2 linked regions of the Ovis aries genome follow. The protein of the gene in region 1 interacts with the protein of each later gene in a biochemical or structural test. Links are inferred from orthologs where the notes say so. Each region holds a gene or a part of one and is shown on either strand. Other genes may lie near its edges.

What was found.
Region 2: the proteins of MMP14 (region 1) and TIMP2 form a complex in vitro, tested with the Homo sapiens proteins (2 studies listed by BioGRID). The link is inferred for Ovis aries from reciprocal best matches to the Homo sapiens genes MMP14 and TIMP2.

Annotation. Positions count from the first base shown.
Region 1 is NC_056060.1:21,789,370-21,792,631, reverse strand, and holds the end of MMP14 (matrix metalloproteinase-14 precursor), read left to right. Parts: intron 1-265; coding exon 266-426; intron 427-805; coding exon 806-944; intron 945-1,065; coding exon 1,066-1,216; intron 1,217-1,659; coding exon 1,660-1,775; intron 1,776-2,136; coding exon 2,137-2,471; downstream 2,472-3,262.
Region 2 is NC_056064.1:52,834,769-52,838,581, forward strand, and holds part of TIMP2 (metalloproteinase inhibitor 2 precursor), read left to right. Parts: exon of another isoform or gene 1-2,832; intron 2,833-3,417; coding exon 3,418-3,518; intron 3,519-3,813. UniProt on the Homo sapiens protein: Complexes with metalloproteinases (such as collagenases) and irreversibly inactivates them by binding to their catalytic zinc cofactor. Known to act on MMP-1, MMP-2, MMP-3, MMP-7, MMP-8, MMP-9, MMP-10, MMP-13, MMP-14, MMP-15, MMP-16 and MMP-19.

The sequences.
Region 1 (3,262 bases):
TATGCCCACATCTGCTCCTTTCTCTCTGCTGCTTGTCTCCTCCAGCTCTCTCTGGCCTGGGCATTTCCCCCTCCCTCATGCCCTACAGTCTTCCCGTTCCCCCACCCCTGCCCCATGACTCCACCTCCATCGGCCCCACTTCTGACCGCACCCTTTCTGTCCTTTCCCAGCTGATTGCTTCAGTCTCCCCCCAAGGTGTTTTCTGCCCATGTGCCTGTCCTTTCCTCCTACTCTGCCAAAGTCTGAAGTGCCCCTCATGTTCCAGGGAGTAAGTCAGGATCCCCCACCAAGATCCCCCCTCAACCCAGGACCACCTCCAGGCCTTCCATCCCCGATAAGCCCAAAAATCCCACCTACGGGCCCAACATCTGTGACGGGAACTTTGACACCGTGGCCATGCTTCGAGGGGAGATGTTTGTCTTCAAGGTAAGAGGAAGAGGTGGGCTGGTGTGGGGGACAAAAGGGCTCTATGACCAGGTGGCAGGGTGGGCACAGAAGCAGGAGGACGAAGCACTGTGAAAGTGAAGTCGCTCAGTCGTGTCCAACTCTCTGCGATCCCGTGGACTGTAGCCTACCAGGCTCCTCCATCCTTGGGATTTTAAGGCAAGAGTACTGGAGTGGGTTGCCATTGCCTTCTCCAGGAGATCTTCCTGACCCAGGGATCGAACCCGGGTCTCCCGCATCGTAGGCAGACGCTTTACCATCTGAGCCACCAGGGATGTCAACCTATAAAACTGAGGCAATGGGGGAGTTTTGGGGACTGAGCTGGAGGACAAAGCTAAAGACTGAATGAACTGCCTCCCAGGAGCGTTGGTTCTGGCGCGTGAGGAAAAACCAGGTGATGGATGGATACCCCATGCCCATTGGCCAGTTCTGGCGGGGCCTGCCCGCATCCATCAACACTGCCTATGAGAGGAAGGATGGCAAGTTTGTCTTCTTCAAAGGTAACCAGACATTCTACCGTAGTCTTTGGGTGTGGGCGGGGCTCCCTGAAGGAGCATGTTCCACTTGGCTCCTCCAAAGACCCAGGTGGAATGAGATCCTGCCCTCCCCTCCCCGCCCCAGGAGACAAGCACTGGGTGTTTGACGAAGCTTCCCTGGAGCCTGGGTACCCCAAGCACATTAAGGAGCTGGGCCGAGGACTGCCTACTGACAGGATTGATGCTGCTCTCTTCTGGATGCCCAACGGAAAGACCTATTTCTTCCGAGGAAACAAGTAAGACCTCACCTTCCTCCTCACACACCACCCACCAGATTCCCTCAATTCTAGTGGAAGACCCACTTGCCCCCCGAGATGTCTCCCTGAAGAAGGCACTGGCTGAGCCTCTGCTGTTGCCTAGCAACAGGCAGCCTCCTTTGGGTTCTGAGTGAGTGGGATATGACCCGGTCACCATCATTTTAGACCTGGTCATTTGACGCCTTCTGCCCCCAGCACCATGCCTCCGCCCCAGCTGCCAGGCACTGTCATTAAGGGCTGCTGGTGGCTCCTTGCAGCCTGGGCCCTCCCACCCCCAGCTTCCGCTGCTTTCAGCTCCAGGCCCTCATTAGTCAAAACCCCTGTCCCCCACCCTTTGCTCACTGGTGAATTCAGTCCCAGGTCACTCCCCTCAGAGGATGTGCCCAGTGTCAAGCCGCTTCCTTTCCCCGCCTCTCCTCTAGGTACTACCGTTTCAACGAGGAGCTCAGGATAGTGGAAAGTGAATACCCCAAAAACATCAAGGTCTGGGAAGGAATCCCTGAGTCTCCCAGAGGGTCGTTCATGGGCAGCGATGAAGGTGAGAGGGGCACGGGAGGTGTCAGTGAAGGGAGGACAGGCACAAGGAGTTAAGGAAGAGCAGGGCGAAAGACCGAGAGTGTTGGGTAGAAAATGGATGATGCTGAGAACCGGGGAGCCCTGTGCCGGGCCCTCAGTGCTTCCTGCGTTTCAGACCCTTCGATCTGCCCCACTCTCTGAGCCTGGTGCTGTAGTTACCTGGCTTCACAGCTGAGGAGACGGGTGCTCAGAAAGGTGAGGGGATGAGCTCAGCGGGCTCGCACACTTACTGGTTTTCTTCCCCTCTGCTTCTCTCTTTGGCTCTGCTCCGGACACCGCGTCCACCTCCCGGCTTCCATGCCACCCTCTTGCTGACCCTGCAGTCTTCACTTACTTCTACAAGGGGAACAAGTACTGGAAATTCAACAACCAGAAGCTGAAGGTTGAGCCGGGCTACCCCAAGTCAGCCCTGCGGGACTGGATGGGCTGCCCGTCATCGGGGGGCCAGCCAGATGAGGGGACTGAGGAGGAGACAGAGGTGATCATCATCGAGGTGGACGAGGAAGGCAGCGGGGCAGTGAGCGCGGCCGCCGTGGTGCTCCCGGTGCTGCTGCTGCTGCTGGTGCTGGCGGTGGGCCTCGCCGTCTTCTTCTTCAGACGGCACGGGACCCCCAAGCGACTGCTCTATTGCCAGCGCTCCCTGCTGGACAAGGTCTGACCCCCACTGCCGCCCGCCCACTCCTACCACGAGGACTTTGCCTCTGAAGGCCAGTGGCAGCAGGTGGTGGTGGGTGGGCTGCTTCCGCCCGGCCCCGGCCCCAGCCCCAGCCCTCCCCCTGTCCCTTTTTCTCTGTCCCATGACTGGCCTCTCCCACCCTCCACGCTGGCATTGCTTCTTCCCTAGATGGGTCCCCCCGGGGGTCTGAGCAGGGGCCGCCCTCCCAGCCCCTGCCCCTCAGGGGCCCCCATGGCTTGGTGTGTGTTCAGCCCCATCTGAATGTCTGGGCTCTGCACTTGAAGGCAGGACCCTCAGACCTCGCTGGTAAAGGTCACATGGGGTCATCTGCTCCTTTTCCATTCCCTGACATACCTTTAACCTCTGAACTCTGACCTCAGGAGGCTCTGGGCACTTCAGCTCCGCGATCCCCTAGGTGTACCCAGTTGGCAGCCTCCCGCCACTCCCTCTGGCTAAAAGAAATCTAATCCTGTTGTGGTGGGAGGAGACCCTGAGTGAGAGAGTGTGGGTTACACAGCCCCCCTAAGACCCTGGGAGGAAAGCTCAGCGAGGGCCAGTCCTCTCCACAAACACATGCCTCTGCCCCACCGGCCCCTGAGAACTTCCACAGAAGGAGCCTGAGCCATTGGGACTAAACTGGGGCTGCAGAAACCCTTGACAGCCCTACCCTCCCAAACGTTAGCCTCGGATGGGGCTGTCAAGGTTGGAAGAGCTGAGACCAGGGGTGCAGCCACCGGGGTGGGGCCCACGAGCCCCAGGGGGTGAGCCTGGAG
Region 2 (3,813 bases), on another chromosome or scaffold:
AGTCCCCTCCCTCACCCTGAGGGTGTGCCCATACTGGCGATGGTGGCGGTTCTCTGTTTCAGAAATGAGTAGCTGCGTCCCAGCAAGGTCAGGGAGCTTCCCTGAGGCTGTGTCACAGGGAGGGGCTACAGCAGGATGGAGTCCCGGTGCTGCCCACTTTCAAATCAGGACCCAGACTGCCCGGGAGCTTTAGGAGCTTTTAGGAGAGAAAAATGCATGGACCTTATTGTGTGGAATCGAATGGGGTCTCTTGGCTATTTGGAAGTACTTTTTGCTTATTTTCCTTTAAAAAAAAAAAAATCGGTTTCAGTGTAGTTGATTTAAGTGCTGTTAATTTCTGCTGTACAGCAAAGTGATTCGGTTATATTATATACATTCTTTTCATATGCTTTTCCATTTATGATTTATCACCAAATATTGAATATAGTTCTCTGCGCTGTATAGTAGGACCTTGCTGTTTACCCATCCTGCATATAATAGTTTACATCTGCTAATTTCAAATTCCCAATTCCTCCTTCCCCCTACACCCCTTCCCCTGGACAGCCAGAGTTCTGTCTGTCTATGTTTCATGGATATTGTTCATTTGTGTCTTTTTTTTGGATTCCACATGTAAGTGATACCATACGGCATTGGTCTTTTTCTGACTTGCTTCACTTAGTGTGATAATCTCTAGGTCTATCCACATTGCTGCGAATGATATGATTTTATTCTTTTTTATGGCTGAGTGACAAGGATGAAATGTTACGCATCCATTCATCTGTCAGGGGGCATTCGGGTTGTCTCTGTGTCTTGGCTAATAGTGCTGCTTTGAACATGAGGGGGAGTCTATGTATCTTTTTGAACTACCGTTTTATCCAGATATATGCCCAGCAATAACATTGCTTGATCATAGGACAGCTCTAGATTTAGTTCTTTGAGGAGCTCCATCCTGTTTTCCATAGGGGCTGCACCAGCTTACCTTCCCACCAGCAGTATAGAGGGCTCCCTCTTCAGCATATGTTATTTGTAGACTTTTTAACGATGGCCCTTCTGACTGATGAGCAGTGTTACCTCATGGTAGTTTTGACTTTTTGCTTGTTTTCTGATGGTCAGCAGAGTGTTTATTGAACACCTATGAGGCAGTAAGCGTTGTGCAGAGTGCTGGGCCTCTGAACAATAGTAGCAAACAGCTTCAAGAAGCATTCAGGACTGGGTACACCACCACAATGCAGTTTGGCAGCAATGCTTCTTCTAGACCTGTGATCTCCTTTGGATGTTCCTGGTTCATTTGATAGCAGGCGCTGAGGACGATACTATGAAAGAGCAAGCTTAGGACAGACTGATCTGATGTTTACTCATGTGCAGAAAAACTTCCGTGCAGTGTTGCGATAAGGTATAGACTAGGCAGGTTGTAAGAGGGACCAAGACAAACCTCGCCTGTGTTGCCATCCAGTTATCTCAGGTTCAGCTCAGCAAATAGAGCTAACTGTTCTATGGTTAGAACATAGCTTCTGCCTGTTCGAAGCTCCCTCGTCTCTGCGTAAACAAGGGTACGGGTGTTTATAGCAAAATGGATGAGAGGTGTGGGATATACACCAAGTGCCACGAGAGGACAGGATTTCCCGGGTGGAAGATGGAGAAGGGCTATTTCAGCTGGGTCTTGAAGGATGAATAGAAGTTCTCCAGGTAGCGAGGAGATGGCATTCAGGGCTGAAAATATGGACACCTCTGGGCAGGTTCAGATTCAGCAAGTATTATGGACTGGTAGAACAAACAAGAGCGGGTGACCACCAAGGCAGCTGAAACAATCACTGGCTGGTACCAGGTCGCCAGGAGGACATTTAGAGGGCGGCAGTGGGCAGCCAAGGAAGATGCTTGAGCTGGATGGGGTGTGGCTGTGAAAAGGCAACACGTGCTGGGGTGGGAAGATGGGTGGAGGGGTGGGAAGAAACACTGAGATCAGGATGACCTGTTACAAGGGCTAGGCCCTCTGTTCTGGCGTGGCCCACCGCTTGGCATTTCCTGGATGTGGCTTCGTAGGTTGGGGCCTGGCTCAGCCTGGGAAACAGGAACCTGTGGCCTCGGCCAGTCATGACTCAGCGCCAACAGAAGGAAAAATCAGGGTGGCTTTGGGCCGGAGCAGGGCATTGGAGCTGTGGTGTGGGGCTCTGGTGCCAGGCTGGGGTCCAGAGAGCATTTAGGGGATCCAGGGGGGTGGGCACAGACGGGGGTCTGTGTCCTGGACCTCCCTGCTCTGCAGGAAAAGACAGCCCTGGCCAGGGGCTGAGACTCCAGCCGCTCACTGGGGTGGAGGGTGGGAGGCTCCTCCAAGCCAGGCCCTGTCTGCTCCTTGCTTCTCTATTTTGCTCACACCCATGCTCACGTGACACTCATCCACAGTGACCCTGAACAGCCGAATCTTGAAGGACAAAGCTTTTAAAGCCATTAGAATGGCCTGTGCCACCAGCTGATGAGCCTCAAAATGAAAAAAGGGAGGGAGGGCTCTGCCCAAGTGACAGCGTGAGCTGTTGATCCCCGCCTGCCAGGTTATGGGGCAGAGCAGGGTCCCGGCTTAATTGCTAGTAGGAAGCCCTGGGTTGCAAGGTCCACGAGCAACCTCAGGCCTCAGGGAACATTCCGGAACCTTCCCAGCCTGACCTCTTCCCCACTCCTCCATCTCGTGTCAAGGTCCAGGACCATCCTTTGTGTTTTGGCCTTTGCCCTCGGCATCTGTCCCTTTTTTCTGCCACTGATGCTCTTAAATGTCTCCTCCTCCCGTTCCACACCCTTTGGGTTAAAATGTTTGACCTCCCTCTGCCATTGCCTCTGATAGAATGTGTGTTATTACAAAAAGCAGCCCCAGGACATTTCTCAGGGACATGCAGAGGACGGATTCAGAGGCTGGCAGGATAGACTTTTTTGATGTCAGACCTCCAACCTAAATATGATGGGGCCTCTTGCAGGAAGGTAACTCCCCCTCTACCTTCAGCCTGAAAAAGCCTGACTGACTGTAGGCTATGGGAGGAGGCGGGCGGGGTGGGGCTCTCACCATCCTTAACTGCACGATCAGGATGGCCGGCCAGTCAGTGTGCTCATCTGCTCTCCCAGCCACTGATACATACACATTGGAGAGAAAGGGAAAAAAGCCCCAGAGTCCCAATGTATGAGATCCACAGTGATCCTTGATCAAATCAGTGATGGCCTCCGCCACCCCCTGGTCTTGAGGGACAAGAGCTGCTCTGGGGTCCTGTCAGCAGAGGGCTCTGGTGTCACTCCTGGTCTGCCCCTTCTGGATGGAGTCCAGTGCTGTGCCCAGGCTGGGATTGCCTGCCCTTGCCTCCCGCCTCCCTGCTGCCAACTCCGCCCAAATCCCCTCAACCTCGGAGCCAGGACGGTCTTGCGGGGGACTCTGCTCACCTTTGCATCTTTGTTTCACAGTGATCAGGGCCAAAGCGGTCAGTAAGAAGGAGGTGGACTCTGGCAACGACATCTATGGCAACCCCATCAAGCGGATTCAGTATGAGATCAAGCAGATAAAGGTAACGGTGGCCGTCCTGGGGTTGCTGTGTCCAGCAGAGCCGTGGGAGGTTTGGGAGTGTGGCAGGGTGTCCCGCTGTCTCAGTGCGCCTCTAGGTCCCTAGAACTGGCCCAGCCACGCGTGGGGCGGACGGTGAGGAGCAGGGGCATCAAGCTGCAGGTGGATCTGATTCTCCTTAATCTGTAAATGCCAGAGAACCTGTGTGCACATGGTGTGTTCCCATCGGCTCAGTTCTTCCAGAAATGTGTTATCTTCACTCTGGTGGCTATAAATCAGTGGCAGAGCTTCAGCGTTAA